3 linked regions of the Caenorhabditis elegans genome follow. The protein of the gene in region 2 interacts with the protein of the main gene of each other region in a pairwise test. Each region holds a gene or a part of one and is shown on either strand. Other genes may lie near its edges. The genes, in order: mab-10, tcer-1 and cyk-1.

Region 1 (3,755 bases), 3.5 Mb from region 2:
AAAACCTCCGAGCCAAGTTGGTATATATTATTTTTATAATCAACTACAGAAAACACACTGATTGTATGCTTAAAGAGAAAATATCAAACAATTATTAGAAGGTACGTGTAAACTACTAGAAATTAAATATTGTAAGCTGATTTATATTTTTCCCAGAATGAAAATTAATTGAAAAATGCTGAACTACTGTATTAACTGCTTTACAACACTGTAGGTTCCCTATCGAAGTCATAAAAAAGGTTTGCAAAAAAGGTTAGAATAGAGTGAAGAAGAGAAGAAAATGGGAACATATCGACACAGAAAAGAGAGTGGTATGGCCCCCGATCCCTGTTCAAAAAACCCCAGCGTCCGCCTATCTACATCCCTGACGAAATAGTGTCTTAAACTAAGAGTGCACCCATACATCTAACTATAGGTCAAAAAAACTCGGCGGCGCGCCCGGACGCAAACGACGACACAAGAAACATAGAAAAACCGGCAAACCATTGGGCGAGAAAAAGCGTTTAAAACATAGAGACACAGAGACAATCCTACAAAAAACGTCTCTCGCCACTGGGCTTCTTCGGTCGTTCGGACGCGGGACGGACCGGGAGGTGAGAATGGAGAAATAGGAGGGAGGGAATAGTACGGGAATCGGGGGAGATTTAGAGAGAAAAAGAACCGATGAAAAAACCAAAGAGGCGTCGTTCGATTATTATTTGAAATGTTCGGTTTACTATGCGAACGATTGAGGTGACTGTGTGTGTGTATACACAGGATGGGCTTGGGAGGAACGGGACAAAAAAGTGACCTTTGTTGACAAGTGGATGTCTGGGGATACGAAAGTTCAAAATTTACAGTAATCGGGGTCAGACTTCAGAGAGATTTTGGTAGCTTATCTCCTATATCTATTAACTTCTGACTAACAGAAATACTTTCAAGTTTTGGTGTTTCTTACCGATATGATAAAATATTTAGGCGGATAGTTTTCTTCCTGTTTGGACAAATAGATGTCTAGAAGCTATAAGAGCATACTAATCAAAACTCAAGCTCCTCCTCCTTCTTCCAATTCAGCTGTTCTCATCCAACAGTACCACCATCTGTTTGACCTCTTCTTCACCTCGTTCCATCGCTTTTTCCAACTGAAAAACCGCTCCGAAAACGTCCTTTTCGAGGCTGGCGCGCGCACGCTCATTCTTCTAGCAAAAAAAGCCCCCATGAAATTGTCTGCACATGTCCATGAATTGATGAAAATAGTGTAGACATGGGAGGAGATGCGCGCAGTATGAGGTGAACAGAAAAAAAATTGGGAAGCGATGAAGGGAGAGAAGGTCGACGACGAACAGGCGGATGGGACACAACGGGGAATAGGTGGGAGGTTCGAGAAAAAAATGGGAGAAATGGAGAAAATAGACATAAAGTGAAGAGTGACATTCATAACTAATAATCTAGAAGTTACAGTATCTCCCAACGGACGAAACTAGTGATCTCCGGCAATTCTGGAAACTGTCCGAGCTCGGTCGATTCGGCAAGTACTACATCAGGGGTGTGCGTCAAATTCGCCGAGTTTGTCGTTTGCCGAATTTGCCGAGCCGACAAATTTTAAAAATGTGGATTAGCTGATTTTGCCAAATTTGCCGTGCTCGGCAAATACTAAAAAAGTCCATTGTCAAATTTGCCACACTCCTGACACGGAGGCCTTATAGTTAGTTTCTGAACTCTAGACCTCCTAGTCAAACAAATCAAAACTAAGGCTTTGGTGGAAGGCAGGCGCGTTTTCAGATCCTGGTGCATGCCTGAGACCTGCCTGCCTTCCGTTCTTTTCTCATTTCAGTCAATTTGATAGTTAAAAAAAGAAAAAACTAAAAACCTTACCTGATACAGTTCTAACTCCGCAGACGACGAAAACGGGATGACGTGGTTCTCTACCGACGAAACCATTCAGCCCGTGTCTCCGAATATCATTCGCGTCTGGCGCCGCACAAGGTCCGGGCACGACCGGGTCAGGAGGCTGTGGAACAGTGAGGCCGGGGTCTATAATAAAAAAGTGGTTGGATAGAGGTGGAGGTGATAACTGATAATATGCAACGCTAGAAAAAAAGGAAAAAAATTAAGAGAACATAGGTCAACTGGAGGGGGGAACACGCGTGCGTTGAAAAAAAAGCAAAGGCATTGAGAAATCGAGAGGAACAGAGGAACAGACAGAGCCAGAATAGTGCAGCCACACTCTATATTCTCTCTGCAATCTCTCATCTTCTCCATACTATTTCTCATTCAGTGATATCAGCAGTGGCGCGGCGTCTTCTCAGCGGCGGTGGTACCGGTCGCGGACACCCAGGGCAGAATTGCCCGGGGGGGCGCAAGTGACCCCCACAGACCACGGGGGGACGCATGAGGGAAAAAATGGCTGGCACTGCCTGGGGGCGACGGCAGTGTTGCTGCACAAAAAGTGCGTCTACACTCTCTTCGCTTTACTTGCTCTTTCTGCACTTTTTCTGCTGCCCTCGGCCGCGTCCATTTTTTGTGTGTTACTGGCAGCGGTACCAGTCCGGTGCCGACCCAAGGAGCCCAAAGGTCTCTGGAAGAGCAATTGATATGATCAGAAGCAGTGGAAGGCATGAAGAGCAGTTGAAGAAGGGGGATTCAAGTTGGTGTTTGGGATAGTGAGACTTTTTTTAAACCGCTGAATCACTGGAGAAGTACTACATGAGTACTGTAGACTGTATATGTGATGTTGTATATGTTATTGATATGAGTACTGTTGAGTACAGTAAGGCCGCAAAATTATTTTGAAACTCATCTTATTCGATTTTTTTTTCAGAATTCACCAAAACAAATGTGTGGTGGAATTCAATAATGTTCGTAACTTCAAAAGAGGATTTTATCAAAAGTTGCCAAATATATTTTGTTAAAAGCGTTTTTTCGGCGAAAAGGTTGCTGAAATACTTGTATTCTAAAAATCATTAGTATAATTTGAACATGTTTTCAAACAAAAGTATAATTCGTTACAGTAATGCCAAGATTGAATCCTGGAAAACACCTTCTTTCATAAAAATGAAAATTTTGAAAAATGGTTTTTACTGATTCGTAGAACAAAATTGTAAGCAGATGGCGTGGTTCTTGAAACTTCTGGATTAATCCATCTGAAAAAATTCCGACTGATGATTTTGATAATGTGTTGTTTGATCAAAAAACGAAATGGAACTGATGCTTTAGGATTTTTCTAATTTCATCTCACTGCAAAATATACAGAATCTATTGTATTTGGAGTAGTAAACAATTTGATTGTTATAGTTTTTACAAAAAAATATTTTGAAAATTCTGGAAAGTTGGTAACTAAGAGTTTCTTCACAGTTTTATCTTCAGAAACTTTGAGGGCTCATCGTGAGATTGGTTCTGGAAACTCGTATTTAGAAGTTCATAAACTTGTGGGATGTTGATATGTTTGCATGGCAGAATGCAAGAGGATTTGGTGGAATTGAGGTATGTATCAACACGTTTTTTAAAATAAAATCAAAACATTTTCAGACAAAATGTTAGTTTTCAGACAGCATAACTTCCATGTTATGTACCTACCTTCTTCTGACGTATCAAATTCTACTATTCAATTGTACGGAGAACCCTCAACGTTGCCTTACAGTTAGTGGGGTGCTTCATTACCCATATACACTTGAAAGTGCTCTAGTTTTTTATGAAACTTCTGAAAATCAATAATATGGTTATGGTGATTATTTGGCAAAGCGCACGTGGACAGAAGATAGGATTGCTTATCCGTG
Region 2 (3,755 bases):
AACAATTTTTTAAATGAAAACCAACAACAATAACAATAGAGAAATCATAACAACGAAAAAACAAATCGAGTAATTTATAGAATGGTCTTGTTCAAATTGCTGTATCCTACACCAACAGCGGTAACCATAGCTTTATCGGCACTTCCTGTTTTGAGATCAGCTTCCTCTTCCTTCAATGTTTTTTTAAAGTCTTCCATTTTAAACTCGATCTCAAAAAACTGTTTGAGATGCCTGAGTGCGTGTACACTATACATTGGAAGAGGACCGTAGAGGAAGTGTGAAACATCTTTAGGACAGAGTGTCATAAATGTGCTTGCAAGTATTTGAGCACTACTGTCAAGGGCACCTCCCATGTAAATTTGTTGAAGAAGAGCATGACCGGCTTCAATTCCAATGTCTTCTGGAAGAATTGGAACTCCTGATTCGCCCTTCGGTCTTGAAATAGCTTCTGCTTGGTAGATAACACCCTCTGTCGTTTCGGCGGTTAAGAACAGACCATATCCTGGAGAAGCGCCACCAGCATCACCTTTCCGTTGATCAACAGTAATATAAACATCCGAAATGTACCCATGCATTGCTTTCTTTGCAGCGTCAATCATTCGATAAGCTAGTGAAGGTGTAACTTTAGTAACATATGCTTGACCTCGAATTTTACAAACTTTTCCGACTTGTTGTCTCTTAAATTAACATTTTGTTTGGGAAGAAACGAATAAAGTAAACTCACTTTTACTGGCCGAAGAGTTTTAACAATTGGAGCGGTAAACACGACAACACCGCCTCCTTCTGGTTTCAATCCTCGAGCTTGAATTTTGATATCAAGTTTCTCATCATTGAGCACAAATTTGTTGTAAACTTTCAACCAAGAAGCTTTCATACCATCGACTGAGATTTCACCAGGTGCGTTTGTAACTCCTTTCAATTTGATTACCATTGGAACTTTGCAGAAGGGAGAAAGCAATAGAAGAGGCTCCAAAAAGTAAGAAATGCATCTTTCGGTACCACAATCCAAATTAACAACACCGCCAGTAATCATTCCCGGTCGGAAAATGACTTGAGTACCTGTTCGACTGATTTCAACTTTAGTACCGTTCGTCACTTTCTCAAGTAGACCGATCAGTTTTGATTCGAAATCTGTAATAATATTTTATGTGATACAAGTTGATAATGAGTAGACCGACCTCTGATTCCTGGTCTATCATCATTTTTTCTGATGTTTATTATTCTGATGGGTCTTCCGCTGAGAATTGAGTACGCTAGTCTGATTCGGAAGAAATTGCATCCACTGAATTCTAGAGTTTCACTGGACATTACCTGAAAAATGTGTCCATCAGTCAAGACGAAAATTGAAGAAAAACAAGCGATTGAAAAATAACAGCATATAAATATTAAATTTATTTGAATTAAAATTCTCCAATTTGAGGATTGAGCTCAAATAGAAACTAAAAATGCTAGAGAGCAGTTTTCATTGGGAGCATATATTATCTGCAAATCAGCAAAAAATAAAGAAAACGTTTACTCGTTTTGTGTCTTAATAAATCAGTTAATTAAAAAGACTTTTTTTAAATCCTTTTAATTTTTTGTATTCATCTGCAACTGCAAAAAAAATTCCGCGAAAAAAAATAATGCAAACGCGCTCCATTGTGAGAATTCAGAGCGCGACGCGGTGTGCGACGCGGTCCTTTGCAACATATTTCGGAGCTTTTTACAACTATTTTATTTGTTTTCAGTTTACAAAGTATTATTAGGGTAAATGGGAATGACTAAATATATAAGCCAAGCAATTAACACTCTGTTATATACATAGCTGATCTTTATAGAGCTCAACTAGATATAGTTTTGAAACTTTTCGTAATTCCATTATGCTAGACTACTGTTTTTGGATTTTACTTTATGAACTGCTCTTTTTTACAGATGAGCCACGAAAATCAGGAGAACTACGATGATTATAACGGAGACCACGACAATAAATATGACCAGCAGTACGACGAATCAAGCCGAGGCGATGATTTTGGGTATGTTTTTTTTTGGTATTCTTAATTTTACGAAAACCGTAAAAATATTATTTTTCAGTGGATATGGTCGAGGAGGGTCGTCAAGGTATTATAAAATTAAATTTACATGCTCAATCTAAATAAATTATCAGTACATTTTTTCAGCGGCAGAGGTAGAGGATTTAATGGACCGCCAGGCGGTGCTGGAAGTTTTTTCGGTGTTCCCCCAGCTGCACGTGGTCGAGGTGGACCAGGGATGGCTCCTCCAGGATTCGCAGGTAGAGGTCGTGGATTTGCTACACCAGGTATGAGCAGTGGTTTTGCTCCGCGCGGTCGCGGTATGCCGCCAGGTCGTGGTGGATACATGCCTCCATACAGAGGAGGTTATGGTGTTGCACCAAATGGAGGTCCAGGAGCGTACGGAGGGCCTTATAACGGAGGTCCTGGAGCATATGGTGCTCAAGCACCAGGGCCGAATCCACAAGATCAGGAGCAACGTCTGAAGAGAGTGAGTAAATGTTCAATTGTTGAAATAGTCTAGAAACGTATACCGTATTTCTTCTATTAATATGGCTGCAATACTATTTTTCGATGGTCTTCCCGCTTGCAATACCAATAGGGAGTGCAAGACTATTAGGGAGTGCAATACTAATTTTCAGGGCCTTTTTCTGACTTTGAGCTTACTACTTTTGTTCTGAAAAAACTCGAATCTTATGTAAAAATTCAGAAAATTTGATTGAAATTGCAACAAAAAAGTTCAAAAACTTCAATCTTATAAAAATTTTCACGAAAATTGTTGAAAACGACGCAGAAAATGTTGTTAAAATCTCAAATTTAGTGAGGCGGGTTTGCACCGAAAAAAAGTAGACGCAAGACTATTAGGGAGTGCAACACTAAAAGTGAGTGCAATACTAATTTTCGGAGGGTGTTCATGGTGCAATACCAATAGGGAGTGCAAGTCTAATAGGGAGGCCATACTAATAGAAGAAATACGGTATTTCAGCTTTCGGGATGTGAAGAAGGACAAGAGTTATGGGTTGAAACTGAGACAGCTGAAGGAAAAAAGTATTTTTATCATCCAGTTAACAGGAACACAATTTGGGAGCGACCACAAAACGCTAAAATAGTCACTCAACCAGAATTGGCTCAACTCATTCATAGAGCCACGGAAGAGGAAAAGAATCGTGAAGGTATGCAATTGCATTCAACTTTTAGCATTTGATGTTTTTGATTCCATCTTTTTGCACATTTATAATTAATTTTCAGAAGGTTAAGTTTAAACCTGGCACAGAAATTTCAGATTCTTAGGTTCATCTCTCCATAAGATTATGTCGCTCTTCTAGTCGTTCCTCTTCATTGCTGTCAAAGCTGAAACGCGTTTGTTAGAAAAGTTTGATAATAAGTTTGGAAAAAAGAAACATAAAAATCAGTGGTAATAATCAAAAAGTCCGTATTGTATCACAGCCACAGGAAAAAATTGCGGAACAACTACCGATTTACGAGCTGCGAGAAGGACATTCTATGCCGTGCGAGCATCATGCCATCCACTAATGTGTAATGTCCACTTTTCTAAGTTTTCCATCAAGTCATAATAGAAAATCATCATTATCTCTTGACTATGAGATTCGGGATCCACGTAGGGGCGGTCTCTGAATATAAATTAGATTTTATTTTTCATATTTATGCCTAACATATGATTTTTTTTCAGAGCGAATGCCACATGGTCAAATCCCACAAAATCCTGATGATGCCTGGAATGAGTTT
Region 3 (3,755 bases), on a different chromosome or scaffold from region 2:
TAGCGTTCGGACACATCTGACGATTTCTTGCAAGAAATCAATCAAATCAAGCTCATATTTCGAGCCAACTTCACTGCTTCTCAGTCGTTTCAAGACTAATGAGTAGAGACAGCAGATAAGATCAGCTCCAGTGCGACCAGACTCGTCATGAACTTCTACGGCGAACTGAAAATAAATATGTATTTTAATAGTAACAATATCTATCTTAAAAAACGAACCTTATTAAGAAATGAAACACCTTGACCAACTAGCTGAACCCGTACAGTAACAATATCCTGCTTGCATTCCGGAATGTTTTTCGTTTTCAATATTTCTCCCAATACTCGTACAACCCATTCCGGAGACCTTCCCTTCGCCTGATTATCTTGTTTTCTCGAATTCTCAATCATCATTTTCATTTGATCAAGTGGCGTATTAGAAATAATTTTATCAGCTTCGGGCAGACCTTTGTCGAGCTGCAAAATTAGTAGAAATATAATAAGAACTCTATAAAGAATATTACCATAATTTTCCTGAATTCTTCTCGTATTTCGTCTTCAGTTCCTGACAAGGCAAATGATTCTCCTGGAACTATTTTATATTGAAAATGGAGATCTTCGAAATAATTCAGTTTAATGCTCGTTTAAAAGTGAAATACGGTCAATGGGAAAACAATTTGAAAAACGCTTCCTATGACGCTAAAATTATTAAATATCATAATAACATGTTTTAAATCTACAGTCAAAAATAAGTGAAAGAAAAGTGGCAAAAACTCACAATCAGTTTTCACCGTTTTTTCACAAATCACATTGTGAAATAATAAAAAAATTTCAAAATATTTTTGAGAAGTTCTATGACATTTTGACATCTTAGCACCATAGGAACGGGTTTTAATTTCAATATTGACCGTACTCTACCTTTAACTAGCGACATAATTTTTATTTTCAAGATTAAGAAAAAAAATATTACCTGAAGAATTTGAAGCAATCGAGAAACCTCCAATACTTTGTGTGCCTGCATATGTACCGTAGTCATTGTTTGAATATGACGATGATGGAACATTCTGAAAATAAGAAAATATACTTGTGGGGAAAATATTAATTTGAGGATTTTGCAAACTCTAATTATTATTATTACTTTTCTCTAATAATAAGATGTTATTTCTGTATTTTTAGGTAGAAGAATTCCCAGATACGAACATTTAATTTCTGTCGTTGTTTTCGTTTAAATCTGCTCGATGAGAACAAATCAGTCCATCTTCCAGAACCATTCGCTCCACTTAAATGAAATGGACTCCTACGACTAGCAAAATCAGCAGCTCCAGCCAACATTGAATGTCTTTCAGCGCTTCTCCTTTTGAATTTCTGATTAGGAACTTGATCTTCCAAGAAATGAGAAACAGTTGCATCTTGTGCACGAGTCGCTTTTTTCTTTTCGCGCAATTGCACACGAGGCTCGTCTATATCAGAATTTTCAGAATTCGGGTGAAGAAACTGCGCTTGTAGAGGGTCTAGAATTGTATTTTTTGGAGCAGAATTAGAAGCTGATGGTGTAGGAGTCACGTCTTCATCGTCATCCGTTGAATAACTTGAATGACGAGATTGGGTAGGAAGTCGATTCATATCAGCTAGTGAAGCTACACGTGGCGTGTCAATTGACTCATAATCATCGCTAGACATTTTTAAGCTGGAAATGTTTCAAACTGAACGAGATTTTGAACGGAACGAATTGAATTAATAAAGTGGAGCGGATTACCGAAACGGTCAAAATAACCTCAATACAGGTAATAAAATCTAATCGTAAATGAAGGTAAAACCGTGAATTGAATTGAAATTGTATTGACAAGTGCAGAGAAATCAAAAACCAGGGAGAAAAATAGTGAAGAAATGAATAACCGATTGGAAAATAATTTTCTTACGAAAAATAGAGACTTTGTTATTTTCCATATACAGAAAACCAACTAAAAATTGAAGGCAATCAGCGAACTCTAGAAAAGTGAGAAGAAGGGGAAAAAGAGAAGTGGAATGTCATCTGATTCTTGGGGAGAAAAATACAAAAATGAAATCTATTCAAATTGAATGGCAGGCAAATCGACAGGGCATGCGGGTCGTTGGATGAAAAAGTGAGAAATGGAGGAAATGTGTGAGAACCTAGTGATAAAAGAACAAAATAAATATAAAATAAACACAGTCACTTCGGTATTTGGAGAAAGCGAAAAAGGGAGAGGAAGAGAATTTGAGAAGTGCTCCGGAAAACAAGAAAATGAACTCGGGAATGGAGATTAGCTCATTCTTCATTAAGTTTTGAAATAATATGTTTTCAGCCAGCATATAATTTGCTTAAAATCTAGTATCTGAGAACAGCCTATTTAATTTAAACTCTCACGTTTTCGCGGAAATTCATAAACTGCAATCCTACATTTTAAGATATTTATTACACATCGTTGAGTTGATTGGGATTTTCGTCCTCATAAATAAAATATATTTAAAAGGAATCCAACTACTTGTTTTTTGGCGGCTAACATAAAGCTCGTTCATTCTTGAAGGAAATTTGACACTGTTTTACAGTATGCAAATCCCTTGCTCTCTTCTCTTTTTTGTCTGATTTTTCCCGCCAAATGGGTCATTGGGCACATGTGAAGGAGATAAGAGGACTCATGGAGAAAGTAGAGAAGGAGAGACGGTCAAAATGGAGACTCATGTCAAGTGGACAGGCTGGTGGTGCTTTTTGAGCATATGATTATCATAGACATATCACTGTTGACAGAAATATGAATGATAGCGTGTTCGCCGGCCGGATGCTCTACAATGTGTATTTTCTATTCACACATGCATGAAGTCACTGCCGATCGTTCAAAATACTGAAGTGCAAATATAAATTTTAAAGAAAATTACTACATGTGCAATGATCGCTTAATTTCACGAATGATAGAACACCTTAAAATGTCTAAAAATGTTTTCTGGATACGTTCTCAAAAAATATGTGATAATTCTACAGTAATCCGATGTTAAAGACTAAGATTTCTTCAAAAAAATTCGGTGCCTCATGCTGGAATCGAACCAGCGACCTTCTGTTTACTAGACAGACGCTCTGCCACTGAGCCAATGAGGCGGACAGAAAACCGGATAGTAAAGCCGTTGAGAAGAGAGAGAGAGAGAGATACGAGACAAAGATATCAAGGCAATTGGGTGGGTTTTTTAACACTGAAAATAAGACAATTGTTTGAAAACTGAAAATTTTGTTAGATAAACTTTCAGAAAGTAACATTTAACTTCAAGAGGAAAGATTTCTATGATCATTGGTAACTGATAAGCTAAAGAGCAAATAGCATAGTCACATAGACATTTAACAGAGAGAGAACACCTAGATATTTGGTAAACACCTAAAAGAAAAACTGTTTAAGTTGCGAGATGTGACATATGAGTTTAGAAACGCTAATTTAAAATTAGGCAATTGTGGGATACACCTAGAATAAGAATAATTTAAACAGATAGAAGTGACACCCTTTCAGTTAAGTCCAAATGGTATACAACCAAACTTTAAAACGAAACGAATTGCGCCAGACAAAACGAAATTCTTCCAATTGACTGACCGATGGAAACTTCTCTCTCTTCAACACAAAACATCTGTCCTCTCGTTCCAAATCGCTAGTGTTAACGGGCGTCAACTGGCCAGATTTGTTTTTTTTAAGGTTTCTGGATACATTTTTTTTTAAAATTATCTAGGATCACCTAGATATCTCTCTCTAGGATATCTAGGATAACGTCTCAACAATT

What was found.
Region 1: the proteins of tcer-1 (region 2) and mab-10 interact in a two-hybrid assay, tested with the Caenorhabditis elegans proteins (one large-scale study listed by BioGRID).
Region 3: the proteins of tcer-1 (region 2) and cyk-1 interact in a two-hybrid assay, tested with the Caenorhabditis elegans proteins (one large-scale study listed by BioGRID).

What each region holds. Positions count from the first base shown.
Region 1 is NC_003280.10:10,526,347-10,530,101, reverse strand, and holds the start of mab-10 (NAB transcription cofactor mab-10), read right to left. Parts: upstream 2,019-3,755; 5' UTR 1,855-2,018; intron 730-1,854; exon of another isoform or gene 304-729; intron 1-303. UniProt on the Caenorhabditis elegans protein: Transcriptional cofactor. Heterochronic protein, involved in timing of a subset of differentiation events during the larval-to-adult transition.
Region 2 is NC_003280.10:7,048,228-7,051,982, reverse strand, and holds the start of tcer-1 (WW domain-containing protein), read left to right. Parts: upstream 1-1,911; coding exon 1,912-2,012; intron 2,013-2,070; coding exon 2,071-2,097; intron 2,098-2,156; coding exon 2,157-2,499; intron 2,500-2,994; coding exon 2,995-3,181; coding exon of another isoform or gene 3,182-3,213; exon of another isoform or gene 3,214-3,545; intron 3,546-3,699; coding exon 3,700-3,755. Other genes in the region: ZK1127.5 (putative RNA 3'-terminal phosphate cyclase-like protein), read right to left, coding at 75-677, 725-1,131, 1,179-1,308.
Region 3 is NC_003281.10:7,027,539-7,031,293, forward strand, and holds the start of cyk-1 (WAPL domain-containing protein), read right to left. Parts: upstream 1,668-3,755; 5' UTR 1,659-1,667; coding exon 1,179-1,658; intron 1,043-1,178; coding exon 949-1,042; intron 565-948; coding exon 503-564; intron 456-502; coding exon 219-455; intron 166-218; coding exon 1-165.